Caenorhabditis elegans: one gene and its partners. The protein of the gene in region 1 purifies or fractionates together with the protein of each later gene. This does not show direct contact. Each region holds a gene or a part of one and is shown in the gene's direction. Other genes may lie near its edges. The genes, in order: pbs-3, acdh-9 and uggt-1.

Region 1 (8,727 bases):
AGAATCGGATATGCCTTCGCTTTTTCATGGCAGCGGATCCTTTGGTGGGCTACACTGGACGAGATTTTGGAATCGCTTTCAATCAGATAGACCACATTTCGGTAATTTATCGAGTTTAATTTTCGAAAAGCTTTAACTAATAATTTCAGCTGAAAGATGAGCAACAAGAGAATCCCGCTGTACTCATTTGCACTTTGAACCTCTCAAGCTACACAAAAATGTGTAAGCTCCAAACCGGCTTGAAGGATGTCGTCGAGAAACCATTTCTGTATAACAAATCTCTTGCACGGAATTTGACATTCATACTTAAACCGTGGAACGATGACCCTGACACGTTTGTGAAGATCTCATACAATGATGAACACCGAGAGTATGTGCACAGCTATGATTACGATGTGGCCAAGTCCTTAATGTTCAAAGAGGTGAGGATTGAATTCATACGATGATATTTTAAAGTTTTGCAAGTTTTCAGGTCCAAGCCGTTTGGGAACAATCACTCAAAGAGCAGCTACAACGTCGTCACCAAACCGGTCGAGTTTATTTGACAAGTCAACTCAGTGAAATGACTCCTCGAGAATGGGTTCAGTTTCTTGCTGATCAGAAGCTATCTAAAATTGTGTGTCACAACGGTTCTATTCAATATGCGAGAGTAGAAGACAATCCACATGGACGAAAACATACAGCAGTTGCCACAAACGGTTGGCTGAAAATATTTGAATCCAAGATTAATTTGATCTCATTTCAGGCTTCGACCACCGAGGAACCAGAGTATTGAATTCATTTGGCAAAGCACATGCATCTCTTGCTACTCAAGAAAAATCATATGCAAAGAAGAGGTAAGTTGAAAGAAAATCGTATCCAGAAATTGTAGTTCTTTTTTTTTCAGGAAACTCACGGAACAATCTCTCAAGGTAAGAAACAACTATTTTTCGACACCTAAAATACCCAAGCCACGGACACAGTGTTTATAACGCCCTTTATGTTCCACCACTATCTGAACTCACATTTAATTTATATTTTCTTTACTCGTTGTATTGTCATATTTTAAGTCTAAAACTCAGTGAGTTATTCTAGCTTATTTATCGAAATGATCGGAGTGTTTGGCTAGAAGGAAGTTGTGCGAAGAACTTGAAGATGCCAAAGATCAATTCGGAGCCAAATATGGGAGAATTCATGGGATGGCCAGATATGGATAACGCAATGGTATGTCAAAGGTCTCGGCGTCCTGTGACTGCAATTTGAATGAATTGTAGACCCACCCGACGTCAAATTTCGAGAATGAAGATGTGATGAAAAGTACAAAGCAACCGAACGATTTCGTCAGTTTTGAACAACTGCAAGCTCCTCCACCAGTTCTCCAACGACAAAATGGAGCTATTTATTCTACTCAATCCGTCGCTTTTACACACATTTCCGGAAATGATGGTGTTGAGGATCTCACTGAAAAAATAAGTCATTTGGGAGAAGAAGCGTACAACATTGATATGGCAAATGCTCTTCATGCCTTCAGTGACAACTGGCATTATGAAATTCATCCTAACACTGGTAGTTAGATGATCGGCACTGATTTCAAATCATTAAAATTGATTTTCAGTGCACAACGCCTCTTTCGAACAATTGCACATCGGAGATGGGAATTCGAGCATCGGAACCATCGGATTCAACCCATTAGAGCCCTATCCTCAAAGTTCATTCCCACAAAGCAATAATTGGCAACAGGTTTGGTTTGCTCTTGCTCACCGAAATCAACCTATACTAACAAAAATACTCCATTTTCCCCATTTTTCTTTCTGTTCCCTTGTTCATCTAAAAAATTTAAAACACTGTGCTCCGAGGCTCTTTTCTAGGGTATTTTCAAATATTATTAAATTTTCAGGCTCATGGTGACTTCACGTTTCCCCAAGTGTCGTTTCCAAATACACAACAGGGCTCATGTTTGCCGGTAGGCATCGTGGATAAACCTCTTTTGATTTAATTTTTTTTTTCAGAGTACTCCGACTGCAGCGCTGCCTCCAACTCGACCAGTTGTTGAGAAAATACCTCCAGATACGCAACTTTTCACGTTCCCACCTTCTGGCTCTTGCACAACGGGAATGGATCCTGTAGTGTGTAAGTTTAATATTACTCGGATTTTTGTTGAATTCAAACAGTTATGCCCCTTTAAAAAAATATTGTAGCTTCAAGACTTTTCTGGATTTTCATCAATTTTTTTCATTTTTTTCATTTTTGAAAAACACCAAGAAATAATAATATAAACTTTATTTAAAGGCGCATACCTATTTGCATTTAACAAAACTTTATTGTGGTGAGACCAAGCAAAGTACTGTCTGCGCAAAATAGGTTACTGTAACTGTTCCCTCATAGAATCCATGAATTTCAGTGCTCGTCAAGGATATCAAAACACTGGATCGCAAAGAATTCCTGAATGACAGCGTCATGGCATTTATGCTGAATTATATTGCATTTATGCTTTCGTCCGAGCTGTAAGTTTCATTAAACATCATTGGATTTTAAAAATTATAATTTAATTACAGAATGAAATCCGTGCATATGTGCAACACGTTCTTATTCGTCAATCTGACTCGCCTACTTCCACCATTGTGCTTCTCCAAAAGACGACCAATCGAACCAGAACACATAAAAATCGTGAAAGACAATTGCCCTCGAGTTCTCCGTTGGACACGAAAATTCGATGTTCTTGCCAAAGATTATATTATCATTCCGATCAACGAAGATCTTCACTGGCTCGTCATCGCTGTTATCAATCCATCGGGTGCAATTGTCGATATGTCGAATGAGGAAGCTTCCAGAGCTGCTCCGAAGTGTTATATTGTATTCTTCGATCCGTTGAGTGGTCTCGATCCAAGCAAGAAGAATCATATGTGTCACTGCATCAAGATTTATTTGGCTCAATTGTATGAAAACACTAAGGCTCCTGGAATGAAATTTGCGTCGAAGAATCCAACGATTTACGATGAGGAGAGAGTTGTCGTGACTCGTGCTGAAAACACTCCAATCCAAGACAACTTTTATGATTGTGGACTTTATGTATTGCATTTCATTGAAGGGCTCTTCTGTTATCCGAACCGTCCGGTCAATGTGAACGTAAGTAAATCTTCATGAAACATCACAATAAATAAACACTTTTAATTCAGGATTTTCCAAACTTTGACTGGTCAAAGTTCTTCCCGGAGGCCAATAAAATGTGTGACTTGATGCGAGACAAAGTTTACAATTTGATTCTTCAACAAGCGGATAAACCTGCGAGAAGCCGTCTCGCCAAGTTCGAAAGGGAGAACAAATGTGGATTGTCGCGTGAAGGAGCTCTTAGGAAAGCACGTCGTCATAGTGCAGTGAATGAACGTCGTACGAAACGGCACAGAGACTATTATGCACGTCACTATTCCTTGAGCCCGCCACACCGAAATGTGATGAACGATGATCCGACGTTCATGAATCCACGTGGATTGGCGGAAATGCCAATAACTCGACTTGTTCGTCGCCTCAGAATTCCGGAGGATAACTTCCCAATCGCTTACTAGGCATTTTGATCAAAAATTTGTCTCCCCTCTCAAAAATTGCCGGTATTTTCTTCTCTTAGTTAATTTATTTTTTAAAGATTTTATTATCCTCCCATTTTTACGCTCTCTCCTTATTTCTGCGTTCTCCGTCATAAAGTGACAATTGTTATTTTTTCTTTATAACTTGATCACTCAATTTAATATTTTCAGTTGATCTCCACTCTTTTTTCCTCCTTTTATTAAAATTTCAATATTCTGTTCCATCAATTTTCCTTTTGTACACCCATTTCACATCTCCGCAACGGTTTCTAAATTTTCTATTTGACTTCAGATTGTTTTCTTACCGTGTATGCGTTTTTCCGTCGATAAATTCGCGTTTTTAATTAATTTTTTTCATGTTCTGTCTGAAGAAAATGGTCGATTTCCATAGGTTCTCTTCAGCAACCCTGGCACGCTATTAGTCTCCGCCCACTTTTCCCTGCCGCAGTTTCCTATTTGTAAGCAAAATGTCCGCCAAACGATTGAAACGCTCATTTCACTTCATTGTTTCTCTGTTTTATTAAATTTCCAGACATTCTCACACTCTCTTTCAATTTCAGATATATCTCTTCGTCTTAAAGACCAGAAAAACACTCAAAAATGTCGATTATGAGCTACACTGGTGGAACCGTCGTCGCCATGGCTGGAGACGAGTAAGTTTTAAATTTCATGGTTGAAATATTATTTTATTCTTATCTTTTCAGATGTGTGTGCATTGCTTCGGATCTTCGTATTGGAGAGCAGATGACAACAATTGCAACTGATCAGAAGAAAGTGCATAAGGTGACAGACAAGGTCTACGTAGGACTTGCTGGATTCCAATCCGATGCTCGCACAGTCTTGGAGAAAATTATGTTCCGCAAGAATTTGTATGAGCTCCGTGAGAATCGCAACATCAAGCCACAAGTGTTGTCCGAGATGATCTCGAATCTGGCTTATCAGCACCGCTTTGGCAGTTATTTCACCGAGCCACTCGTTGCTGGTTTGGACGACACCAACAAGCCATATATCTGCTGCATGGACACTATCGGATGTGTATCTGCTCCACGCGATTTCGTTGCTGTCGGAACGGGACAAGAGTACTTGCTTGGAGTTTGTGAAAGTGAGTTTTTTGAATTTTGTTTAACGTTCAATTTAAATACTTTTTACAGACTTCTGGCGCGAGAACATGAAGCCGGATGAGCTCTTCGAGGCTACTGCTCAGTCGATTCTTTCTTGCTTGGAGCGTGATGCTGCATCAGGTTGGGGAGCAGTCGTGTACACAATCACTAAGGATAAGGTTAACGTCTCAACTATCAAGGCTCGTATGGATTGAGAAATTTTCCCCGTTCCCAACATTAAGTGTATACAATTTAATCTAATTTATTTGTTTCTCTTTTCCCTGTCTCATCCCCACACCCCAGACCGACCGGTTACCGTATTTTTCAACTTTTAAATTCTTTTGTGTTGGTTCTTCAATATCGAGAATACATTTATCACCCATTATGACTTGTAAATGTTTTATCTTTAGTCTCCCGAAGTTTATGGCAACAATTCTACGAACAAAAAAAATACTACACAGATCCTAAGAATTAGAAAAATTTCACAATTAAATCATGCTTATAGACATCTGGATTCAGCAGGGTCAATGCTTGATGCAACATTACACCAGAAAGCCCCCAAACTCGCTGGGTGGAATGAAGATACTCGTTCGGAGCATTGTGATGGACCTGAAAAACTTAACATTTTTTCGGAAATTATTTAAAAAATAAACCTTGAACTCCGTGGAATCGAACGAAGGCAGTGTGTACTTCATTCTCTTGCTTTGGAATTTAGTTAGTCCGGCTTTTTTGATAAGTTCATCAATTGGAATCGTGAAAACAGCTTGTACTTCATCAGAGTTGACCACCAGATTCTCGAGAACTCGCTCATCGGAAATGTATCCAACAATCGGAGTAACATTGAAATCCGCTTGCCGTCTTATCACACTTTTCAAATGACCCCAGATTTCCACACTTTCAGCGTTAACCCCGATTTCTTCAAACGTTTCACGGAGAGCAGTTTCAGTTGTAGTTTCTCCTGGATCCATTCGACCACCTGGAAAACATACTTCACCACGATGCGATCTGAGATGAATCGATCGTTTCGTTAGAAGCACAGAATCACGACCGTCAACAGTCACAAGCGGAATCAGAACAGACATTGCCGAATTCGCGTCGGAATCCGAGACTAGGCGAGGATGTTTCGATGCGGGAATAGATGAAAGATTCTGAAAATGAGCATTCTTGGTCTCTAGTTGGCTAAATGATTGCAGTATTAAATACCTTCAGAAATTGTTCTTTGGCATCCTTCCCGAAGAATCTTCTACTACAAACATTGATCAGACTCCTCTGAGCACTGAGTCCATATCTCATTTGGTTCTGAATCAAATACGAAATGTTTTATAATAAAAGTTGAGAACGTGAGGTACTAATAGGCAAGGCCTTTCTTAATATGCAAAACAAATGGAAAACATCTTTTGTAAAAACTTCTTCATCAAAAAATATAAAATAAATCTGTGAACACATAAAGGGTTCAAGGAGTCAGAAGAACAGAAGAAATTTATATGAATAGAATGTGTACAGTTTTTGGAAGGAAACGCCAAAAACTGTAGATTGTGGGCGGGAGAGGCGGGGGTTGCACAATTTACAGACACTTCTCGGTGTTCGAAAACAACGCGAGATTCTCAAAATTAATCAATTAAACTGAATGATTAGAAACTAGAATGACATAGAATTGAACTTTTTGGAGGAGCAAGGATTGGGTATCACAGCCTGGAGCTCACCGCTTTCCTGTCATAGATATCAGTCTGAAAGCAGGTTACAATAAATAAATAAGGAATTAAATGGGGGAACTGTCAAATGGTAGAAGAAAGAAAATTTGCGGATCCCGTGCCGTATACCCGAAAAGAAAACAGAAAAGTGGGGAGCACATTACTGTACACGAAAGAGAGAAAAAAGGACAAATGAGGGTAAAGCACACTATACACATGATGATGGTGGATGTTGACAGAAAATACAGAAGAACAAAGGGATGTAGAGATGATTAGGCATTTGGAGGAGCATTCAGTGCGCTGTTTATGTTTATGAACATCCAGGCGATGAAGACGAGGAATCCAAGGACGAGAATGCTGAAAAAAAAACAAAGGAATAAAAATAGATTAAAAATAAAATTGTGGTTAATGTCATAGTGGTAAAAGCTGTTATCAGTCACATAAGGGTGCAAGCGTAAAGCGTATTAGAAAGTTAACATTAAAACAAAGTGCTCCTACTCACCTAGCCATCGCCGTCGGCAATTCTCGACGGGTCTCGGAAGCAAGTGATCTAAAAATTAGTGGTGTGAGGGTGTTATTGAGGGCGCAATGGAAACAAAAAAACTGGGTGAGCACAAAGGACACTAAAACTCAGATTCGTGCAAACAAAAGACGTGCACATTTACCTTGTATGGAACATAGAGAGATAGTGGGAATATCACGAAAATCTGAAACCGTAGAAAAATAAAATGATAAGAAACCGCAAGGAGGGAGAGAAAATTAATATTTCTAGATTTCTCTTTTAAAAATAATGAAAACTATTACCTCCATGGAAGTGCTCCACTCATTTTCTGTGTATCCAACAGAGTCTGCGGCTCTTCGGATCCAGCGTGTGCTCTCATGCTCATCACTTCGTCGATAGATCGATTCAAAACCTGAAACAATGTTTTCTTTCCGATTTTCAATTTGTTGGGGCACCTGTTGATGCGAGGCACTCGTTAAAAGCCGATTCTCTTGTTCGAATCCTTGGGTTACTGTATTGAGCTCAATCTCCAATTTTTCAACTTTCTGGCGAAGCTTCTCATTTTCTTCTTTCATTTCTTTGAAAGCTTGAACAGAAGTCATACTGTCTTCACTCACTGGACGAGAATTGTATTCCTGAAAATACAAATATTTAATGAATGTGCCTATTTCCATGTATCACATACCAGTTCATCAATCACTGCTTTAGCTTTTTGCAGAGCAGTCGCGTTGACCTCCAATTCAGCAGTTCGTTTTTTGAGTATCTCATCAACTTGAGCCTGGTTAGTCTCCGCACGCATTTTAGCTTCTCTCATCTGTTGAGCTTCAACTTCTGCTTTCTCCAGCTGAATTTTTAAACCAACAACGTCGCCGCTAGCGTGTTCCTGGTTCTTGAGAAGATTCTCTTGAAGATCTTCAATCTGCTGCTGGAGCTCTTCAATTTGCTTGGTGGCGAATAGTTTCTCCTCTTCCAAAACGCCATTTTTACTTTTCAGCGTGATAAGCTCCCCTTTCAGCGGCTCCAACGATTCCAGCTCTTGAATACGCTCCGTTAGTCGTTTGTTCTCAATTTCCAATGGCAACGTGTTCTTCTCACTGAAAGGTCTAGGCGGCATATAGAATCGGTGGAAAGTTCGTTTTTAACTTACTCAAACGACAGATTTCCTGCTTCAAACATAGACTCATGAAGCGATCGTGGAGTGACAGCTTCTTCTAAAAATCAGAAATAATTAAGGATATTGAATGTTTATAAACTAACTGAAAATAAGTTGGTTTTCCAGCCGGTTCCGCTCTTCAATCAATTCGTCTTTTCGATCTTCCAACTCTTTGACTTTCTCCTTATGCTGAATCAATTGGATCTCTAACTGCTCAACACATCGTTTCTTTGAATCCAGAGAAGCTTTTAACTCAGTGTTAAGAGCAGTCAAACCGCCAACTTGTGTCCGCAACTGAGCAATCCCATTTTTGTTAGCATCTTCCAACGTTGCACTTTTGACATGATGATCGAGCCGCGATTTCAATGCTTTGTTTTGGGAAAGCAACTCCTTGATTTCCTTATCTTGTTGCTTGGAGAGTTCCGCTTCTTTTTGATATTGATTGGCTACAGTTTTCCATTCATCTAAATCGGATTGAGCAGCATCCAGCACTGTTTGTAGTCTCTGTCTCTCTTTGTCCGATCTACGAAGCACATCATTCTCGTTGGTAAGTTCAAAAACGATCCCTTTAAACTGATCCACAGCAGCATCCAACTCGAGATTCTTTTCTTCCAACTCTCGACGTTTCTGCCGGAGTTCCTCATTTTGCTTCTCCAAGATGCTGATATCACCTGATTCAGAATTTGATGACATATCGTGTTGTGCAGTTTCAAAGGATTTA
Region 2 (9,869 bases), 4.1 Mb from region 1:
ATGACCGTGCTGCACTCAACATCATCCAAAATGTACGTGGAGATGGAAATGTTGTTGATGAGATCCGAGAGCATCTAGATGCTCGATACGTCTGTGCTCCCGAGGCAATCCACCACATCTTGGGATTCAAACTGGAAAAGAAGTCCGATACAATTTATCGACTCGCTGTGCATCTCGAAGGATTCCAAACGATCTACTTTAGAGCCAGTGTCACCACACAACAACTCGAATCTTCATCACAAACCGACACGACTCTCACAGCTTGGTTTAAGATCAACCAAAAGAGCAAGGATATTGCGGAGAGCGGGAACATCCCTTCGACATTTGTTGATTCACGCCAATTCTTCTACATGGATATGCCAACGCACTTCACCTTTGTGAAAAAGGATGGCTGGAAGGTTCGAGGAAGAGGCACAAGGCAGATAGGCCGAATGTACACTGTCCCACCATACGAAACCGAGAGATACGCACTTCGAATTCTTCTTTTGAACATCAAAGGAGCGACGTCATTCGAAGATCTTCGTACTGTTTTGGACGAGAACAATGTTCCAGTGGTATACGCAACTTATGTGGAAGCAGCAAAAGCTCAAGGACTTCTGAATGATGACAGCGAATATTTGAAGTCTTTGAAAGAGTGGGCTGGATGCTCAGTGCCCGCAGCTCTTCGCTCAATGTTTGTCGCTATCATTCTTTTTAACGAAGTTCACGATCTGAACGCACTTTGGGATGCCGTGAAGTGGGATCTTTCTGAGGATTTTCGCCATGCTGGAGCAGGGAAAAAGAGGCTGAGGCACTTGCATATTTTGATATCGAAAGTCGCCTTCAAAGGTATCTTTTGAGCTTTTTTCAAAAGTAGATTATAATATTTTTCCAGGGTTGGAAAAAGATTCGATGTCACCAAACCATCTATCAATCCGCCACCAATCGATCTCGACACAGTCAACCCTGCTCAATGTGCATCAGAAGGCAATAGGCTCCTTGCGACACTCAATGATCAACAGAAACGTGCAGCTGACCAGATCCTTGCTGCATTAGATGATGCCTCGCTACCCCGTCTTTTCTATTTGGATGGGCCTGGAGGGAGCGGAAAGACTTATCTCTACATCACTCTGTACAACATCTGTGTTGGAAGAGGACTGAAGGTAAACTTTCAACCAAACATACTAAAGTTATTTCAATACTGCATATTTTCAGGTAGCGTGTACGGCGTGGACAGGAATTGCAGCCAATTTGCTCCCACTCGGTCGAACATCCGCTTCCCTTTTCAAGCTTGATATTAGAAATCAATGCAAGTCTTCTCTTCATCAGAGGCAATTGAAAGAAGCACAAGAGCTAGCGGAGAACGACGTTTTCATTTGGGATGAAGCATCAATGGTTCCCAAGGTATTAGAGTGATTCTGATCGTACTAATCAAATCATTCATTCAACTTTCAGACAGCCCTCGACACGGTCGATGTACTGCTTAGGGATCTCACAAAGATCGATCAGCCATTTGGTGGGAAGATCCTGATCCTCGGAGGAGACTTTCGCCAAATCCTACCTGTGGTGGAGAGAAGCTCTAGAGCTGATCAAGTAGACGCATGCATCAAAAGATCACCACTATGGACAGAGTTTCAAATTTTGCATCTCATCTCAAATATGAGAGTAACATCTGGAGACTCGGATTGGATCCAATTCCTCCTCAATGTTGGCGATGGATCTGCAAATGACTCTGATTCAAAGGTTACACTCCCACTCTCTGTCATGTGCGATCACAACATCGTCGAGGAAGTGTTCGGAGCAGTTATCGATCCAACCACGTCTGATCCATGTGACAACGTCATCCTTACACCTAAGAACGTCGACGTTGCTCAACTGAATGACGATGTTCACAATCGAATGGTTGGCGAGGAAAGAATCTATCTGTCACGAGATGAAGTGATCGTGGAACATCAAGCGGATACTATGCACTATCCCACCGAGTTTCTCAACAAGATGTCCCCATCATCTCTTCCTCCCCATATTCTCAAGCTGAAGAAAGGCTCAGTGATCATTCTGCTCAGGAATCTCGATGTTTCCGCTGGCCTTTGCAATGGTTCCCGTTTCATTGTCGAAACATTGGCCAGTCACTCACTTGGATGTCGCTTTGCAACTGGCGAGAGGAAAGGACATTTCACAATCATTCCAAGAATCGATTGCTATGATGATAAGAACATCTCTTTCCAACTCAGGCGCACACAGTTCCCAGTTCGCTTATCATTTGCATTATCGATCAACAAGGCCCAAGGACAATCCTTTTCTAAAATCGGTCTCTGGATTCCCACCGATGTTTTCACTCATGGACAACTATATGTTGCTCTATCAAGAGTTCGTACCAAAGAAGGTCTTATTGTAAAATTCAGTTCTAATATTGTCACCAATATCGTTTTTAATGAAGTTCTTTGAATAAAGCTTATTATTCTTCTCTGCTATCTCGCTAGACAACTCAGCTCTCTTCTGAGGTTTCACTCCACAACTCATCTCTTCTCTGCTATCTCACTCGACAACTCATCTCTTCTCTGCTATCTCGCTAGACAACTCAGCTCTCTTCTGAGGTCTCGCTCGACAACTCATCTCTTCTCTGCTATCTCGCTAGACAACTCAGCTCTCTTCTGAGGTCTCGCTCGACAACTCCAGCCTTCTCACTCGCCCCCATATGTAGGAGTATGGGGGGAGAGAGTATTATTATAACCACAGAAACACAACAATGTGCCACATAAGAGACAGGAGATAGTGCTCGCACTACCCCTGAATCACCAACCCTCTCAGAAGCACCTCTGCTCTTATCTGGGTCTCGCTAGACATCTCCAGTAGTTTGACCATTCTCAGCAACACTTTTGCTATTTTAGAATTTTTTTGCCCTCGCGGGGATCGAACCAAAAGGTCCGCGCGCCAATGGCGCGCGCTACCAGCTGTGCCATGCTGGAAGCGATTGAACTTCGACCAATAACAATATACAACATTTCTTTATTTGTCAAAGTGAAATAGTTTTGAACAAACACTATTCAAAAAAGTAATTTTAAATTGAAATTATATCAAATTCACGATTTGTTCCCAAATATTTTAAACTGAAACTCAATAAGAGAAGATCTCATATTCTCACTGATAATCCGAAACATGACATTTGTTTCAATGCTGTTTTCAACCTCAAGTTGTAAAATTCAAAAACCAAGCTGAAAATATGTTTTAAAAATCTAGAAACTACAATAATTTTTATGTGAATTTTTGGAAAAATCTCAAGCCAGACGGAGCACGCGCCTTGGCGCGTGCGAACGGCTGGTAAGTTATAAAATCACAAACACGTTTCACGTGAAAACACCCAAAAACTGATCCGTTTCTCTGTCAGTCCTTAGTTTACATTCATCGTCATCTCAACGATTCTTGTCACTGTTTAAGATAAGACTGGCATGCTCCGTAAACAAAATTCGAGCTCCTTGAGCATCTTCTTGCTAGTTCTGCTGCTTCTTATTTCAGTGTCTATTTTTATCACGTCCAATCAAATCAGTAAGTTTCAAAAGATCATAGTTATGCTAGTTACACGGGAAAATTCAGATCGTAAATTGGAACAATGCTCTTTGCCGAGCTTCACACGACAAGCTCGAGTGCTTAACCCAGCAGCTCTTTACACTTCCCATTCTGCAAAAGAGGTCCGCAAATCTTCTTTTAAATCTGCGGATCAGGCCCGGAAGCTACTGATTGCTGCAGCAAAGTTAAATGACAACAAGGACTTTTACGCGAAGGTGAAGACGGAAGCTCATTGTGAGAATATGGAAAGAATTGGAGAGTCAGGAGACGGGGGAAAGTATGTTTGCAATCCAAAAATGGTTCGAAATGGGTGCACGTTGATGTCATTGGGACTTAACAATCAAATAGAATACGATGAACACATCCACAAAGCTACAGGGAAGCAATGCATCATACTTGGAGCAGATATTGTGAGTTTAAAACGTTTGAATTTTAAATATTCACTCTGTAAATTAAGGGAGAACAAAACGAAAAGACGAAAGAGTCATACAAGAATATCAATGGCCAATTGTTCGTAGGAAAAATCCCGGACAATCTGCCCATCTCATCGATGCTCGAGAAGTCTGGTAGAAGTGAGATTGAGCTGTTGAAAATGGATATTGAAAATGGAGAGTTCACTGCTTTGGAGCCACTGATCAAGGACTATTTTGTTTGTCAGATCTTCATTGAAATTCATGGAACCCCGTTGAATCACTTTGAACTGCTCCAAACCATGGCAAAATACGGCTTCCGTATCTTCAACGTGGACCCTAACCCATATTGCGAGGCATGCTGTGAGTACAGTCTCATCAACGACTTTTGTATGGCACAGTTTGAAGTTACTCCGTTGGCCAGCATCATTCCACCAGTAACTGTATGAGTTTTTGTTTTGTTTTTATTTTATTTTATTTGTGTTTTAAATAAAGTTTATGTAAATTGAATTCTTGGTTTTATTTCGACACTAAACCAAATCAGTGCTTATTAACGTGTACTCATATTTTTCGGCTTTATCCGTTTCTAGTTGAAATTCTTTTTGACTCAATTTTGCAGCATCTAATTTTCACTGAGTTTCACAGCTTTTATTAATTGATGGAAAATTAGTAGAATTCGTTTTTTCTTAATCAAAAGTCTATATTGAAAAAAAATTATTACAATAATAAATCATTGATTTGACCTTTTTATGCTTTTTTCAAGGCAAAGCTATACCCAAAAAACTCACTAGTTCATCTGAAAATGAAACAATAACCAAACACAGATTGTTCAAGCCAAACATTTTATATTGATTTTACAAAAAAAAACTTTAACATACAAAACTTTTTTTGATTCATATGAAAAAGGTCGGTGAAATCATAGCTGCTGCAGACGCCTTGATGTTTGATGACGCATCACAAATGTTTTAGCATTGACTGCATCCGGAAGAACTAATTGGTGTTTGACTCTGATTGAAGTCTGAAATCTCTTTCATATAGGCTTGAGATTTAATCTAAATAGAACAAATAGAGGTTAAGGGGTCAGATCGGATTTTTATTTGAAAACTTACAAATTTTTTTTTCAATTTTTTCGAAAAGCTAGTGTCTGCAAGAGGTTTGCAGTTTCTATAAAACATCTTTTTCTTGAGGCCCATGATTTGCCAGTTGCTATATTCCTACTTGACTATGCCCTCTTGTTTTGCAGAGTTTTAATTTCAAATTTCAATACGTCAATCTATAAGAAACAAAAGGAGGAAACATCACTGACCACCGTTCTCTTTCCTTCTATTCGTCAGTTGTCTCGATGCGATCAAACTATCACTTTCCCCCTCTGCGTCTCTTTCATATTTTGCCTGCAACTCTCACTGCGTCTCTATCTCTCCCTCTCTTGCCTGCCAAACGGACAAAAAGTCCACTTTAGTTTTCTTCTACCACGTGCTCTCGGTTTTCGTGATTTTCGTTTGATTTTTTTTTCAAATTTTCAGCAGATGTTGCTACGAAATGTGCTCTCCAAAGGTCTTCGGCTCAGAAATTCCAGCAGTTACTGCTTGAGGCGTAGGTTTTATATTTTACAAGTTCAATTTTTTAAGAAAATATACTTTCAGCGGGTGTTGGACTCGAACGCGACGTCGAAGATGTTTTGGAAGCCGCCCATCAATTTGCCAAGAAAGAAATGTACCCAAAAATGGCAGATTGGGATAAGCAGGTAAGATTTTCCCAAAAACATTCTTTTAAAAAATGATTTGAAATTTTTCAGGGAGAGCTCCCGATGGACGTGCTCCGGAAAGCTGGAGAAATGGGATTCGGAGCCATTTATTGCAGTGGCGACCATGGAGGATCCGGGCTCTCTAGACTTCATGCTTCAGTAATTTTTGAGCAGCTTTCAATGGGATGCGTGTCGACGGCAGCTTATATTTCAATTCATAATATGTAAGTTAGCTTTAAAAAAAACTAGTGAACTATATATCTTATAGGTGCGCCTGGATGCTGGATACCTACGGCCCGGAGAAGCTTAAAGAGGACTTGCTCCCAGACATGGCTGTTTTCAAAAAGCTCGGATCCTACTGTCTCACAGAGCCAGACGCGGGCTCCGACGCCGCAAGCATCAGAACCACGGCTACCAAAAAAGGAGATTATTATGTTGTCAACGGATCGAAAGCTTTTATCAGTGGAGCAGGAACTTCAAATAAGTAGGTCTTTCTTGAGATATTCTGTTTAAATATTGTAAAAAATTTAGCTACTTCGTTATGATGCGGCAGGATGGTGCAGCTCCGGGAGCCAAGGGAATTTTCTGTCTTATGATTGAGGATGGAACTGAGGGATTCAGTTACGGGAAGAAGGAGGATAAGCTTGGGTGGAACTCACAACCAACAAGGATTTTGACTTTTGAGGATTGCAAGGTGAGCGTTTTAGAAGTTTTAATTTTAAGAAGTATTAATTGACTGTTTTCCGATAAAAGAAACGATTGCCCTGAGCATTTGTATAAATTTCCATTTTCCATTTTCCAGGTACCAATCACTAATCAAATTGGAAAAGACGGGTTCGGCTTCAACATCGCAATGGCTGGGCTCAACGGAGGACGCATTAACATTGCGAGTTGCTCACTAGGAGCTGCTCAAAGGAGCATGGACTTAGCTATTGAACATTTGAAATATAGAAAACAATTTGGTAAGAGCTTGGCAGACTTCCAGTATAACCAGTTCAAGCTTGCGGAGCTCGCCACAAAATTGTATACTAGCAGGTGAGATTTTCTTGTCAACTAGAAACTTTTATAAAAAATTTGAACTTATTTTCAGACTAATCGTTAGAAACGCCGCGGAGCAACTAGACAATGATGATCCGGAGAAGGTGGCTCTTTGTGCAATGGCGAAGCTTCACGCCACTGATAATTGTTTCGATGTGAGTAATTTTTCAGCCGACATTTGACAAAGTTTCTTGTTCCAGGTCGTCAACGGAGCTCTGCAGATGTTCGGTGGCTACGGATTCCTGAAAGATTATCCGGTTCAACAGTACCTCCGCGACATCCGAGTTCACCAAATCCTTGAAGGAACCAATGAAATGATGAGATTGTTGATTAGCAGGGACCTGCTCACTAAGGATGTATTCTGGAGCTCCTGAGCCATATTTGTCTCCAAGGAATTTTAGAAATGGGTATTTCCAATTGCTCATGGCATTTTGCTATTTATTACAAACTTTTATTGAATATAAATGTTTTAGATTTTCCTTTTTTCTGCACAAAAACGAAATTAAAGACTAAAAATTAATGCTCTTTTATTTGTAAGCATATTCTATCACAATTTTCTTTTCACTGTGTGGATAGGAGCTTCACGTCCCTAGAACATCACAACCAAGCATCGTTCCTGATCCCGGTAATGAGTAGGCTCATATATTTTGGCCCAGTTGGCAAAGCAGGACCGATAAATTTTGGTGGATTCTCAGCAACTCCATGAAGCCATTCAAAGACTTGAACACGAGCACATGGATCATTTTCATTCATTGGTTGGTCGTAGATATTCACTCAAGAGTTGATCCAAACTGCCCGAAAAGTTTGGGGTGCTCAACTTCAATTGTTTCAAAGCCGATCCTGTCAACTGTCGGCAACAATTTTACCAAACTACGTTTTTACCTAATTCTAATAATTGGGTTCAAATGATTTATTGTTTCAAAAAATAAATTTATAGTTCTAAGACATTTTGAGTTCCGAATCTTTTGTCAAACTTTCAGTTTCATAATCTAGCTCTAAACCTTCCAGATCGCCGTCTTCTCCAGCAGCAGCTCTTGCACAGCAGCAAATTCCGGTACAAACGCAGGAAACAATGGATCCAACAATTCCACAGAAAAACAGAAAAACTAGAATGCAAATGACGGCAATTGCAACTTCAACCGTCATGTACCACTCGCAGTAGTTGGTCTGCTCACAGCATTCTTTCCAGAGAGCGTTGGTACTTTTGCAGGCGTCATCAAGACAGTAGTCGCTGCTAGCGGTGTCCGAAATAGAGATTCATTAGAAAAAAGCTCGTGAGAGGTCGGACGCTGCAGGGAAGCGATTTAGCAGAGCAGCCCTGGGACTCGGCTGCTAGATTTATTATCTTCAGAAATGGGTTTAAAATGTCGGCTGCTACTTTTTTGTTGTCACAAAAGCGCCTAGTGTCGGTACATCTTCAAAACTTACATGATCGACATTTCTCGGCAAGATCTGAATTATCAAACAGCGACATGATGCAAGTTCTCAAAAACCGATAGATACAACTGGTAATGATCGAACATATGCAGTTGTAAAGATTATATTCTCACGTTTTCTAATAATAAATAAAAGACGTGTCTTTCTAATTGTTTTGTCCATTATCTCCTAGTTTGATCAGTTCTAGTTCTGCCGATTTATTAAATTTTTACGTTTTTATAATGGCTTGGTACGACAGCAGTGAGAGCGCTCAGAACTGTAAACAATGTAAGTTTTAAAGTCTTGATAATGCGTGCATCGTTTTTATTTCAGATGTTCTTTCTTCGGAGTACGATGATTGTGTTGAAGACGACACGTGCATGAGGACTAACTCTATGTATCTGGAATGCTGCGTCAAGCACAGATACTGCCGATGGTATGGAAACACCGGCTTTTTCATCCTCATGCTCTTTGTCGTCATTATTTGTATAATTGTATCCGTCGCTGCAAGTGTCGTTTGTTGCTGTACGAGTTGGCGTACCGGAGTCGGACAAGACGATCCGGATCGTGAGCATTTTGAAGACATCTGCGAGGAGAACACTGTTTCCCATGAGGCTACAAAACGCTCCAAAATTGCTTGATCTATGCAATTTAGGCATGCGACTTGAAAATCGAAAAAGATAATGTTTTTTTAATGAATAAAACCTTTATTGTGTGTTCGTCGGTTTTTTTTAACCCTTTTAGTGTCAGCTATATATTATGCTTCAAGTTTGTTGAAAAAAAAACGTGTTCTGAAAAAATTTAGCCGCTCGGAAGAAAAAACCACCCAGTTCAAACAGTTGTTCATTCAAGATCGATGCAACTTATATCACATTCAACGTCATCCCGTGCCAAAGCCTCTTCATACATTTTCCAGTTAATATGCACATCGTGTATAGTTCTCCATGTTTCTGTGCTTGTCTTGTACTTCATGTCTTCCGGGCAATCAACCTGGCAATGCCGCCTGAACAGCCCATCGGCGATTTTTTCAATTTCCGGATTACGATCCATGAACGATTTCAACCGTTTTGCTGTGAGAGTTATAAGTGTTGGGCGCAGTCTTTCGTACTCAAATTGTTCCAGATTTTGAAGTTCTGAAGTGAAAAGATTAATTATACTGTCGTCTGGAAGAGATGACTAACCAGAAACGTCAATCAATTCAGGAACTTTTTCAGGAACTGATGGGGGCTCTATTATCCAGTCTGTCTGAAGAGTTACTGCTTTTCTATACGGAATCGGTGAACGTTTCGATATTTTTTGAGAAGAATAAGACTCCGATGCAAAGCGCTTTCGAGGGTCTGAAATTGAATTTTTAAATCTTCTGCAGCAACTTTTTGAAAAAAAAAGTGTGGCTCAGTTTTCTTTCCACAAAAAAAACACTTACCGGTCGGCTTCATCTCCAAAACTCGAATTCTATGCAATAAAACCATCGCAGTTTGAGAAAAATCCTCAGAATCCAAATACTTTTCCAAGAGTTGCTTCAATCCAAACCAGTTGCATATCTCCATAGTAATCTTCAGATTGAGAAGTTGGTTTAATGATCGATGCACATGTATTCCAGCTTCAAGACTCTTCGCACACTTTGACAATTCCTCGAAAGAGGAGTTCATTGCCATATTGAGTAGAAGTGAACAATAATTTCTGATGGACCATCTTCTTTGTTCCCCAAATCCAACGTT
Region 3 (12,946 bases), on another chromosome or scaffold:
AGATTATACGTAACTCGCTTCATCTTGAAGATATCAATAAAAAATTAACTAAATACGATAGAAAAAGAATCAGCAAACATTTCTGGTTGACAGTTTTTAAATGGAACAAACGTCAACCAAAATATATGATAGAAAAGTTGAAAAATGTAATGCAATGCTACTAAATAAAATATATATATATATATATATATATATATAATTTTCAGTAGGACATAACTTGCTATACGGTTTCAAAATTCTTGAAAAGATGATCACAAAATTGTCATATTGATTCAAAATGTTGCACACACTGAATTCTTTTGGGGTGTTCCACCAAGATATATGCAATTTCGTTGCGATTTCAATTATTTTTGTTTAAAATCCCGGTTTAATAATAAGGCTTCAGTAAAATAATATTTTCATTGAATGTTGAAATAATATTCAGAACATCTCATCCCGGTTTATATTCTCAAACGATATATTTACAAGAAAGTATAATAAGTGCTTCAAAATCTGACTGCCAGGCAAAAACCACAATTACCAAGAAAACATGATACAGGGCACAAAACCCAAAATCATATTATTAGATGAAGCTCGACATTTTGTTTTCTCACTTCCTTCAGTTTTCAAGTTTCACACGCTGCCATTTGGCATGTGATATCAGCTACTACCAGTGTTTTTCAGAGTGTTAACATATTCAATAAAAACTGGAACGATTTATTCACGCTCTCAAAAGAGACAACTCGGATTTTCAAAACATTCGAACCTAACAAAACCTTTTTTTTGGTTGAATATTGAATAACTGAATTACTTTATGTTTATCGGAGTTTTCTATCGTTTTTTTTTGCTCTCTTCACCTGTCTCTTTGTCTCTGAGCAGATGCAGATAAGCGACATCTGCCACGTCGTCATGTGTTGACGACCCTCTTCTCATATTAAGTGACCACCCCTTCTGCTCTCGTCTGCTGACTGTTCTTCCTATTCATTTGGGTGTTCCGTTCTACTAGGAGACTTCGGCACAAAATGGCTGAATGGCAATATTCGAACAGTTACTTGGTTGGCCCATTGATAACTTTTACATCAGCTATCAGTTTTGTCATGGGCAAACCCAGTACGGTACAGAATCTATGGAACCCTGAAGAGTTTTATCCAGCACCCTTAATTGCTGCACTTTTCTGTATTTTTGCTTGCGCTTCAACCATCAAAAAGCGAGTTGCAACTAGACCAAGCGACCTTCGAGAACTTGGTACTTCATGGAAAAGAAGCCTTATTGTAGGATATATTCTTGTCATTGGTATAAGTACTGCCTGTCAAGTTACTATTTGGAAATGGAATTGGCACCCAAGAGTGAGTTGTGAATTTCGTCTTTTTTTTGTCCAGATATTAGATATTTTATATTAGACACATTTTTTTTTAATGATTCAAAAAATCATATTTCAGGGTTCATATTCCTTGTTTGTCATATCAAATCTTGTGATGATGATGGTGTACGTTTCATTCGTAACTAATATAGCCGAACAATGTGTTTTTATTTACCGCTGGACGCTTGTTATGCCTTTAAGCATCTTAGCGTCAACAGCTTACATATCAACGTTCATACCATCAGAAGAACCAGGAGTATGTTTTAAGCATAATTGGCATACATTTATCATATCGTTGTTTCAGGACCGATGGCTGTTCAACCTGTACTACAACGTTGTAACTGCTATAAGTATTAAAGATTTGTATGCTGTGCTGGTTAACGACATTCGTGTTCATATCCATTGGGAGAAAGAGTACAATAAACTCAACTACAACATATCTCATCAAGGTGACGAAGTTAACCAATCCGAGTATTCAAGTTCAGATGAAGACTGGGAAAAAGTCGGAGAGGATGATTGTGATGAGACGTTAGATAATTGTGATAACTGAATAGTTTCTAAATAAATTTCTAAAGATGTTGCTAAAGGGAAACCAAAACGTTTTTTTTTGTTTTTCTACAATTTGTTGTATCATTTTTTAATCAAAAGATTGTACATAAATAAGTAATATACAAATTTGATAATCAGATGGAATTTTTTCTTCACGTCAAATTTCCCATCTAAAACTTTTCATTTCTAATGCATTTTTTTTTGGTTTTTAAAATGTCAGTTTTTCTCATCTCAGTATTTTTGTCAAATATTTTTAATATAAATAAACGTATTCTGTCTTAATGTTCCTTGCAACTCAAAATCTATCAAAGTATATTCCAGTACATAGGCATTTAACAAAAATTATAATTTTTAGGAGTTTCCAAATCGATAATATGACGTTTTTATTCAAGAGCAGCCTTTCGACATCTAATTATGGAGACTCTTTCCACATTCCCTTTTTCTCTAATCCTCTCCTTGTTTGAATAGATGAACACTCTCGTTGCCCCCTTCCCTCATGTTTCCTTGCGAGCGTGGCCGACGTGGTTGTGCACAGCCACCAAACGTGCAAAGGCGATCACTGACGCATTTATTGAGCCGACGTCAGCATTACTGGCACGCATTCACAAACTATTCATTTTTAGAATTTTATTTTTTAAATAACACATTTCTTTCTATTTGTCTTGCTATTTTCTGTGAAGAAACTTTAAAAAAATGAAATTTTCAATTTTCCAGGTAATTATGAACCTAACAGGTTTATTAATATTTTTTTGCCATATTGCGGTTCTCGCAGCTCTCGAAAAGAAAGGAGTTCACACATCTCTTAAAGCAAATTGGGATTCAACGTCACTTTTAGCCGAAGCAAGGTTAGTTATTAAAAGTCTTAGAAAAAATACGAAGCGTTTTTTCAGTGAGTTCATCGCGGAAGAAAATGAGAAATTGTTTGTAAAATTCATCGATATTGTAAACAAAGATGTCGGTACATTGAATTGGGAAAAATGTGAGTGAATTGTCAATAATCGGCAATATGATATCTTTGATTTTCAGTAACGGATGAGCAAAAATACGAGTACACAATCAAGACGGCAGGCAAAGTACTGTCAACATCATCTGTGGACCTTCTCAAGTTTGCTTTGGCTCTTCGCCAGTATTCTCCACGTGTTCAATCCTTCCAGCAGGTGATTTCTTTATACTAATGAATTTTATTAGATGAAAAACATTAAATTCTCCAGATTGCTGTTGAATATGGAGAGAAATGTGATGTCTTTGTCGTGGTCGGCGAACAAGTTTCATGTGAATACACTAAGCTGGAAAAAATGATCAAGGACGCAAAAACGAACAGCCAAGTGCTTGAGTCGGATCATATTTTTGGTGAGAAGGATTTGAAGCAGGCAGCGATTTTGTACGGAGAGCTGGGTACAACTTCTTTCGCCAAAGCTTGGGAAAAGTTGAGCAAACTGCAAAAGACCAAGCTCATTTTCCGTCATTTTTCAAAGGTATACTTAAAATGGAAAATGAAACCCCATTTTAAGGAAGTATTTTCAGAAAACTGATTCTCACCCAGTGTCACTTTCCGGATACGGTGTAGAACTTGCTATCAAGAACACGGAGTACAAGGCTGTCGACGAGAGCAGTGAAAAGAAAAATGTAGAAGAAGACGAAGCTGATCTTTTTGGATTCAACATTAAACTTCTCAAAGAACTTCACCCAGATTCCGTAGATGCCATTGAATCATTCCGTGTGAACCTAAAGGAATCCGACGAATTGACTCCATTGAAAAGATGGGAACTTCAAGATCTCAGTTACCAAGCAGCGCAGAAAATTGTCAATGCAGGGCCAGCTGATGCTATTGGAACTCTGGAGGAATACTCCCAAAACTTCCCAACTCATGCTCGTGCTCTTGCAAAGACGTCAGTCTCAGATCTTTTAAGGAAAGAGGTTCTCCAAAATCGCAAGATGCTAGAGAAGGCAAGCATTGAAGTTGGAGAAACATCGTTGTACATCAATGGAATCAATCAAGATATTAACAGCCTTGATTTGTTCAAGTTAGCTGATCTCCTCAAGCAAGAGAATAAACTCGCCGATGGTTTCCATAGTATGGGAATTAACGTGAGTTTCCATGAATACAGAAATAAGTGTAACAATAAAGAAATTTCAGCGCGAGTATTTGTCAATTCTTGTTGGAATGGACACTTCTGATGATGAGAAGACAACTTATGCAGTCGATCACAGAGAGGGATATCCATTCGTAAGCTTACGAAGAAAATACTTTTCTCAAAAACCAATTTCAGTTTATCAATAATCTGGACACTGACAAAAAGTACAAACAATGGGGAAACAGTGTCAAGCTTATGCTCCAACCATACTACCCGGGAATGATCCGACCAATTGCACGTAATTTGTTCAGTTTGGTATTCGTAGTGGATCCAAGTACTTCCGAAGGCCGGAAATTCCTTAGAATTGGGCAGACATTTAACAGTCACGATATTGCTATGAGAATCGGATACATCTTTGCTGTTAACCAGGATACTAAAGCCAGTGGAGAAACAGATCTTGGAGTTGCCCTTCTCAATCTCTTCAACTTTGTTTCCATCGACTCTTCAAATGCCGATGCACTGAAAGTTCTCAACAACTTCCTTGATGACTATCGCTCTAAAGACCCAACTATTGAGGATATCAAAGAATTCTTCGAGGCTAAATTCAGTGATGCCAGCTTCTCCGATGTGTTTGGAGTCAACTCTGATTATGATAAAGGACGCAAGCATGGATTTGAATTTGTGCAAAAGACTGGTCTTAACTCGGCACCGAAGGTTCTCCTCAACGGTTTCATTTTGGACGATGAAGGGGTTCGCGGCGACAATATTGAAGAGACTATTATGATGGAAGTTATGAAGATCTCTCCAAAAATCCAAAGAGCCATTATGGAAGGTATACTTTTTTTAAAGCACTCTCGATTCCTCTTTACATTTTTCTTTACTTTTCAGGAAAACTGACCGACCGTATGAATGTTGGAAACTGGGTTCTCGAACAAAAGGATGTCATGCCAAGAATTAACAAGCGAATTTTATCCGCTCCAAGCAAGAAGACCTATGTTGAAATTCTTGGATCAATGGATTGCAAATCATTGAAGGATGTGGAAAACCTTTCGGATTCGGACAAAGCTGGATGTCTTCTCCAAACTACAAAGTACTTACAAAAAGCATCAGCCGATTCTATTTTGGTAAGAACTTTACTTCAGTTCAGTTTGAATGCATATAAATTTTCAGCCAGTCACATTATGGGTGGTCGCTGACGCCGAGGCTGCATCGGGACGTCGTTTCATTTACAATTCACTTCAAATATTGAAAAACTCTGCCAACTCTAGAGTTGGAATCATCTTCAATCCAGAAAGTGTTGAAAAGGCATGCGAGTCAAACAGCATCTCTTCGTACATTAGAGCTGCTCTTGATTTTCTTCCGATGGACCAAGCTAAGCGATTGATTCTCAAGTTGAGCAATGAGGAGTATGCAGCTGACTTCATTTCTGGAAAAATCACATTTGACGATCTTAGTGTTGGTGGTATGGATACTGCTAAATTCCTTGCCGATAAGAAGAAACTTGACTGTGAAAGAACTCGATTGGAGTCTCAGATTGTGAAAAAAGTACTCGATATCTCATCTGGTGGCCGTGTTGTTGTTGGAAATGCTCTCCAAGTTGGACCTCTTGAAAGCTCAGAACATTTCGAAGCTGCTGATTTCAAACTTTTGGAAAGTATGTTGTTGAGCAGAGGTGCTGAAGTTATTTCTTCTCATCTCAAGAAGTGGGAGTTTGACGTTTCCAACGGAGTTGGATCAAACACGGTTTTCTCGATTGCTGGACACGTTGGAAAGCACGCTTCTTCACAGAAACGCACATGGGTTAGCATCCAAGGAGATGAGCACAGTGTTGTCACACTTCCAGCTGATGAAATGGATCGACCAGCTGTTGACGTTCTTGCCGTTGTTGATCCACTCACTATGGAAGCACAAAAACTCGGATCGATTCTCCATTTGATTAAAAAGGTTACAAACTGCGAAATCAAAATTGTGATGAATCCAAAAGATAAGCACTCTGAACTTCCGTTGAAGAGATTCTACAGATACGCTGCTGCTTCTGAATTGAGTTTCGATCACAATGGAAACTTGAACACAAATGTTGTCAGGTGAATACTTTCTATTTAATAAAACCAATTTCAATTTCACAATTTCAGGTTCGATAATCTTCCCAGTAAGCAACTTCTGACACTTTCGCTGCAAGCTCCCGACTCATGGATAGTGGAAGCCGTTTCTGCCAAGTATGATTTGGATAACATCAAGATGGAACAAGCCAACGGAGATGTCACTGCCGAGTTTGCACTCCAACACTTACTTCTCGATGGACAGTGTTTCGACGAAGTTAGTGGTCAACCACCACGCGGTCTGCAGTTCACTTTGGGAACGGACAAGAACCCTAAACAATTTGATACAATCGTTATGGCTAATTTAGGATATTTCCAACTTAAAGCAAATCCTGGTGCTTGGAAACTAGAGATCCGTGATGGAAAATCTAGTGAGATTTACAAGATTGGATCGCATGTTGGAGCGGAGAAGATTGGGGAGGATGTGCTTCAAGTTGTTATTGACTCATTCACTGGTAAATCAGTAAGAGTTCGTGTTGAAAAACGTGAAGGCATGGAGGAGAGAAATCTTCTTTCCGACGATGAAGAAGGTGTTTGGAGCAGTCTTAGCAAGTAAGCATTTTGTTTAAACTCTTTTGAAATAATCTCATAATGTTATTTTCAGCTTGGTGAGCAGCAAAGAAAAAACCCAGGAAGTGATCAATGTATTTTCTCTCGCATCCGGTCACTTGTACGAACGGTTCATGAGAATCATGATTGTCTCGGTCATGAAGAACACGAAGCATCCAGTTAAATTCTGGCTTCTCAAGAACTACCTGTCGCCACAATTCAAAGAGACACTTCCAACTCTTGCCAAGCACTATGGTTTCGAGTATGAACTGATCGAGTACAAGTGGCCAAGGTGGCTTCACCAGCAGAAGGAGAAACAACGTATTATGTGGGGATTCAAGATTCTTTTCCTTGATGTACTCTTCCCACTTGATGTTCAAAAGGTGATCTTTGTGGACGCTGACCAGGTGGTGCGTGCTGATTTGATGGAGCTGATGAAGTTTGATCTTGGAAATGCGCCATACGGATATGTGCCATTCTGTGAAAGTAGAAAGGAGATGGACGGATTCCGATTCTGGAAGCAAGGATATTGGGCGAACCATCTCGCTGGGAGAAGATATCACATTAGTGCTCTCTACGTTATTGATCTTCAAAAGTTCCGTCAAATCGCTGCCGGAGATCGTCTTCGTGGACAATATCAAGGACTATCTGGCGATCCAAACAGTCTGGCTAACTTGGATCAAGACTTGCCAAATAACATGATCCATCAGGTTAAGATCAAATCGCTTCCACAAGAGTGGCTTTGGTGTGAGACTTGGTGCGATGATGGAAGCAAGAAGAATGCAAAGACTATTGACTTGGTAAGTTGATTGAACACAACTGAAATGCTGTGCCATTGATCTGTTTTAAATTTCCGTGAACAATTAACAATTTTCAGTGCAACAACCCGCTCACAAAAGAGCCAAAGCTCGACTCAGCCGCCAGAATTATTGGAGAATGGAAAACGTATGATGACGAAATCCGGGAAGTCATTTCTGGACATTCTTCTGATAACCCTTCGGATAATGTCATTTCTGAAAATGATGACTCTCACACGGAACTTTAAATTAATCTTTTCATATGCCAAGTTTACCCGTTATTTATTGAAAATGTTTCCAATCACCATTATGATATTCAAAACTCTGGGTATATTTTTTTCCAAATCAGTCGATTCGCTTTTTCTGCTATTTATTTTTTAGCTTTTGACTATGAGAGCTTTCAAAATTTCATTTTCAAATATTGTCAAACTTGTGATGAATCTTTGAAACATTTTTTTGCCTCTCTCTATCCAATAAATATTTTCTTTTTCTTGATGTGTGGGTGTATTAAAGAATGCATTTGCTTGATTTTTCTGAAAGCGGATATTACAACAATATCAATGCGATGCTCGTCGGGTCAAATCCTCATTCGAATCATTTGATCGAAAGAAGATGTTTCGAGCGGTCATCGTTTCCTCTCTACTTGCATTCGTGTTTTCAATGTACATTGCGGACCCGGCAAAATGGGAACGCCATCAGTACTTGGTGAAGGTAAGACTTGCTCAACTCGCTTCGAATTTTATGTTTTATGTTCAGGTACTCACTAAGGATACCAAACTGAAGAATATCTCAACTTGCACGGGAACTCTTTTGTCTCCATCCGTTGTGCTAACCAGCTCGAAATGTTTCCCAGACACCAGAAAGTATGGTTTCAAATTTTTAAATATTCCCGTAGCAAAATAAGAAGCTTACGAACGAACATAGCGCATTATAGTCTCTTACATTTTACACTTTTTCTGCTCTGAATTCGACTACGCAAAAGATTCGTGAATTGGCTTGTTGTGCGGAATGTGCTGACAATTTTCGATTGAAAACTTAGACGAAACTATGCCAGAGATAGTTTATAGAAATATATGTATAGCAACTGTTGGTTTAGAAGAAACGCTGAAATGGATTTTTATTTGAAGGCAATTTAATATTTATTTAGGAACCTTATTGCACAAGCTATTATCAAAAAGAAGGATTCCTCTGCTACCATGAACAAAGCAATGCTTGCTGTGAAAATTGACGGCGACTTGGCTCTGATGAAAATCGATGCGGTTAATGAAGATCATGTAAAAAAGACTCTAGTATTTGCAACTCTTATTAGAGAAATTATTTTTATAGTTTTGCGATAAGGAGCCACACCCACCAAGAGTTGCACGGCTCAACTTCAAACCAAGCTTGACTGATGCTACTTACCGTACAATTGTGCCAAGGGATCTTCAAGATTCCAAATGTAGAGTGATTGGATTTGAAACTACGGAAGATGGTTCGTAACTACAAAACTATGTAGCTACTAAATAAGTTATTATATTTTTAGTGGAAGACTTCGCTACTTCACACAAAGTCCAAGTATTGGATCTTGATGTTCACGCTGACACAGAAAATCTCATGTTCTCAGAAGTTAACAGTAACTCTACAGGTCGTGTTTGCTGGGTAAGCGTTTTTGTTGTTTTTTGGAAATACACACTTTCAAACTTTGCATTACTTAGTTTTTATAAAAAGTAATTGTTCAAATTCAGGATGATATAGGAGCACCACTGGAATGTGTTCTGGATGTAGAAAACAATAAATATGTTCAAGTAGGAATTGTTTCTGGTCTCTACGGGCGTGAGGTAGGCTTATCGCTTATTTTGTCTTTAAACTTATGATTTTTATAGATGGACAAGGAAGACAACAGCACAATGGTGGTTGTCAACTGCTCAGAAGTTCAGGTAAAATCAACGAGCAATTATTCTGAATACATTACGTAATAGAAATTCTTTATAAAAAACCGCATTTTGTAGTGTTGAGAATCTTATCAGACAACAAAATACGCCGGTGATTGATTTCTCATCTTTTGGACTTTCGGGAGGAAATATGAGATTAAAAGAAACGGGGGGCAAGGGGCAAAGTAAATAATCTTCTCCATTATGTGGATTTCCAATATTATCAATTTCCAGACCATGCAATTTGTTGTCTTTAGCGACAATACATTTGTCCATGCTATTGAGAATGTGGACAAGGCTAGCGTTTTTGAAGCACAGGACAAATGCTTCTAATTTAAATTCCACTTTTTCATTCTTCATTCCCTTTGAAATAAATGTTTTTATGATGCAATAAACACTTGTTGGTCCCTTATAACGTATTGATTTTCGTGTGCACATTTTGTGTTTGCTCTGTACTTCTATTCTTACGTTTGCATCTTTCATTCTATCCTTTGGTTTCAATTAAAATTGTTGCAAAAACCTAAATGAACATCGGTCTTTTTCAAGAATCTTTTAGTGTAATAATTGTGTTTGAAAATCAATCAGATGTTTGTTGCAGAAAAAATGAAAAAGAAACATTCTATTTTTTTGAAACAACGAACTTCTCATTACTTCGAATGTTTTATATTTCGGTACTTGTGTAGTACATACCTAGCCCAAAAATGTTAACCATTTTGAAAATGTGTCCGTGACCCTTTGTGTTCATATTATCCTCGGGATCAGTGTTTTTTGAGCATGGAAATACAAATCAATTTCAGTTTTTAATTAAATAATTGTTTTATAAAGAAATGAACGGAAAATGTATTGCAAAATGTTTTTGAACCTGGTATACTTCACAATTACCAAAATTTTACCCAAAAAACTAAGTAAACGTAGAAAATAAATAAGTGTTTAGCTTATTCTAATTAATGAGTTGTCTGTTCAAAAATTCTTTGAAGCCGTGCGTTTTGATGTCTGCTCTTTTGAACTCTATGCTACAACTATACACGTTCTGTGTTGCCATAGAAAATGAATTTCCCATTGGTTTCGCCCATTTCCTCAGCTTTTTCTTTCAGTATTTTGTAGTTAAAAGGCTTATTTAAGTTGTTTCTTTTTCATTGAAAATTCACTTCTTCAGAAAAAGTTTCAGAACCAGTGACAACATGCAAAAACTCAATTGGAAACTACTCATATTATCTGCTGTTCTTGCAATTACTGCCATTTTTCAAGTAAGACCATCGAGTTTTTTTTTCTTTTTGTTTTCAATTCAAAATTTCAAGATGGGATATACGAATGCCTATCCAAACACAGCTATTGGAAGTTTTCGAATATTTCTCAACGAGTCAGCCAATGAGCCATATACACTATCAAACTCGGAATTTGAATGGGCCTGGTCAGCAATGCTTGCAATTTATTTTATTGGATTCGCGGCTGGTAGCGTGATATCGGCTGGCGTTGCAGATAGAATAGGAAGAAAATGTGAGTTATATTACTTATAGTTGAGATATATTTCACAGTTAATATTTTAGGGACCTTGTTTCTTGGCACCTGTGGAAGTCTGCTATCTTCCCTTATAGCGCTCTTTGCAATAATTTTGAAAATGCCACTGATGTTTGGGTTTTCTAGACTGGTTATGTCGCTTTCGGCAGCAATTTCGATGAATGGTCTGATTCTATTATTTCAAGTAAGTTTAAATTGTATTCAGTCTATCCGAATTATCATCGGGTTTTGGAATATGTTTGACAATTGCCGAAAATGCCAGATTGTGAAAATCTTAGCAGAATTTGAAATTTTAGCCGTGACAAACGTTTTTATTTCAGTATTCTGCAGGGTCTTACAAAATATTCCATGCTTAGAGGCTTAAGACACGAGAAACTTGAAAAATGAAAATTCTGTCTCAAAATGCATTTTTCCGCCTTAAAACTTTAAATAATTTGAAACTCAACATTTTCGGCAATTTGCATTTTTGGCGATTGGTAATTACGGTTTTAGCTAACAATTTTCACACACCCAATTCAGCGCCACCAAAACTTTTTATTGTAAAGCTGTTAATTAATTTAAAAAGTATGTCTGTAAATTTCTGTTTTTTTTTCAAAAATGCATGAGATGGTGAATACGAAAACATGAATATGACATTTACATACTTTAAAATAGTTTTATATTTATACTTTCCATATTTTAAACACACTTTATATACTTTTATATACTAGTAAGTAAAACTCAAACAACTATTCAATTAAAAAAACCCCTTCTTCGAATTTTCGAATTTCAAACCCATCCTTTTTTTCATCTTCTTTTTTTCATTCCACTAATGGCACACACCATCACTAGTAGCACAACCATAAAAGCTCATCTTCTCATCTACAAAGTAAATGCGCGGCTTCTTCTTCCATGAAATGCATTTCAAAAAAGAAAGAGAATGAAAAATGAGAAAATGGGAAACCGACACACAAGCAAGCGACAAACAACAAAAAACGAGCGAGCAACAAGATGATCCAAATCGTAAATTATACCTATTTCAGGAAAGCTCACCATCTCATATGAGAGGGCTAATTTCATTCAATGCAGAGATGGCTTTCGTGATAACTAATCTCATTGGAGGACTCTTTGGAATGCAGTCTATCCTGGGTCAAAATATCGTCGGGCTTATCGCGTAATAAAATAATAAAATTCCAGATACCATTATTAGAAAAATGAAAATTCAGGGTATCCATTATCCCATCATCAGTCGCTTGTTTCTTGACGGTGTTTCTCAAGGAATCTCCGAAGTATCTTTTTTTGAAGAAACACGACGCTACTGAAGCGGGACGAGCACTGCAGTTTTATCAAAACATCAAAGACGAGGAAGAAAAAATGAACGTTTTAAATGACTTGAAACTCGAGAAAGAGGAAATGGGTCATCAAAAGAATGGTTCACTCTTTGACATAATGGCAAATCAGCCAGTTCGTCGTGGGTTTTTGTTGGGGCTTGCAACAATGCAGTTGACAGCATCAGTATGGCCTGTTGTGTTTTACTCTACCGACTTTCTCATGGATGCAGGATTCTCATACGAACTTTCGGAAAGTGTATCAACAGGAATGTTGTTTTTGAGGTGATACATTTTTACACTTTCTCTGCGGGAATTCAAACGAGCAATCACTAATAAAAATTGAATTGCAGCTCGTTGAGCACAATTGTTGGAATGTTCATCGTCGAAAAATATTCACGAAAATGGCTCCTAATTGGGACGGCCAGTGTAAATATCGCAGCTATTTTAGTATTCTCACTTAGCGCAATTTTGTCACATTATTGGACTTGGATAGGATACGGATGTATCATTTGTCTTATACTTCATGGAATTTCTTATAGGTAAACTATTCTAATTTCCACTATTGCGCCACAGATTTTGCTTTCAGTGTTGCAATGGGACCGATTGCTTGGTTCATTACTTCTGAACTGGTACCTATCAACTTCCGTGCAGCATCGCAATCCCTGGTTCTTGCTCTTAACCACACAGTTGCATTAGTTTTAGCTTTTCTGACATTTCCTCTTTACAAAACAATTGGTAAGGTTTGTTTCATTTGATAACCTAGAAAAGAAAACAAGCAGAATGTTGAAGCAACAGTAAAC

What was found.
Region 2: the proteins of pbs-3 (region 1) and acdh-9 fractionate together in Caenorhabditis elegans (co-fractionation; one large-scale study listed by BioGRID). This does not show direct contact.
Region 3: the proteins of pbs-3 (region 1) and uggt-1 fractionate together in Caenorhabditis elegans (co-fractionation; one large-scale study listed by BioGRID). This does not show direct contact.

What each region holds. Positions count from the first base shown.
Region 1 is NC_003280.10:4,950,821-4,959,547, reverse strand, and holds pbs-3 (Proteasome subunit beta type-3), read left to right. Parts: upstream 1-4,120; 5' UTR 4,121-4,160; coding exon 4,161-4,213; intron 4,214-4,264; coding exon 4,265-4,662; intron 4,663-4,711; coding exon 4,712-4,875; 3' UTR 4,876-5,068; downstream 5,069-8,727. Other genes in the region: ulp-2 (Ubiquitin-like protease 2), read left to right, coding at 3-101, 150-422, 473-698, 746-836, 887-911, 1,075-1,203, 1,254-1,545, 1,595-1,719 and 5 more; ndx-3 (Nudix hydrolase 3), read right to left, coding at 5,132-5,269, 5,314-5,808, 5,864-5,953; zyg-12 (Zygote defective protein 12), read right to left, coding at 6,624-6,708, 6,854-6,901, 7,156-7,265, 7,309-7,488, 7,539-7,956, 8,001-8,064, 8,111-8,727. UniProt on the Caenorhabditis elegans protein: Non-catalytic component of the proteasome, a multicatalytic proteinase complex which is characterized by its ability to cleave peptides with Arg, Phe, Tyr, Leu, and Glu adjacent to the leaving group at neutral or slightly basic pH.
Region 2 is NC_003280.10:844,211-854,079, reverse strand, and holds acdh-9 (Isobutyryl-CoA dehydrogenase, mitochondrial), read left to right. Parts: upstream 1-5,476; 5' UTR 5,477-5,479; coding exon 5,480-5,546; intron 5,547-5,596; coding exon 5,597-5,697; intron 5,698-5,748; coding exon 5,749-5,921; intron 5,922-5,965; coding exon 5,966-6,181; intron 6,182-6,228; coding exon 6,229-6,391; intron 6,392-6,499; coding exon 6,500-6,732; intron 6,733-6,787; coding exon 6,788-6,890; intron 6,891-6,935; coding exon 6,936-7,109; 3' UTR 7,110-7,216; downstream 7,217-9,869. Other genes in the region: F28A10.5 (Methyltransferase FkbM domain-containing protein), read left to right, coding at 3,426-3,522, 3,571-3,953, 4,001-4,402; F28A10.13 (60S ribosomal protein L35), read right to left, coding at 4,870-4,971, 5,063-5,146; F28A10.7 (uncharacterized protein), read left to right, coding at 8,394-8,439, 8,485-8,792; F28A10.4 (WSD domain-containing protein), read right to left, coding at 8,995-9,284, 9,333-9,488, 9,575-9,806.
Region 3 is NC_003284.9:7,490,639-7,503,584, reverse strand, and holds uggt-1 (UDP-Glucose Glycoprotein glucosylTransferase), read left to right. Parts: upstream 1-2,602; 5' UTR 2,603-2,608; coding exon 2,609-2,733; intron 2,734-2,778; coding exon 2,779-2,867; intron 2,868-2,914; coding exon 2,915-3,045; intron 3,046-3,099; coding exon 3,100-3,363; intron 3,364-3,412; coding exon 3,413-3,976; intron 3,977-4,025; coding exon 4,026-4,115; intron 4,116-4,158; coding exon 4,159-4,795; intron 4,796-4,851; coding exon 4,852-5,087; intron 5,088-5,133; coding exon 5,134-6,047; intron 6,048-6,095; coding exon 6,096-6,614; intron 6,615-6,666; coding exon 6,667-7,411; intron 7,412-7,488; coding exon 7,489-7,656; 3' UTR 7,657-7,891; downstream 7,892-12,946. Other genes in the region: F48E3.6 (DUF4220 domain-containing protein), read left to right, coding at 1,077-1,325, 1,419-1,595, 1,644-1,889; try-14 (Peptidase S1 domain-containing protein), read left to right, coding at 8,021-8,119, 8,165-8,271, 8,556-8,682, 8,735-8,879, 8,931-9,046, 9,133-9,225, 9,271-9,324, 9,553-9,651; F48E3.2 (Major facilitator superfamily (MFS) profile domain-containing protein), read left to right, coding at 10,500-10,565, 10,617-10,815, 10,866-11,020, 11,859-11,989, 12,042-12,428, 12,497-12,685, 12,733-12,881.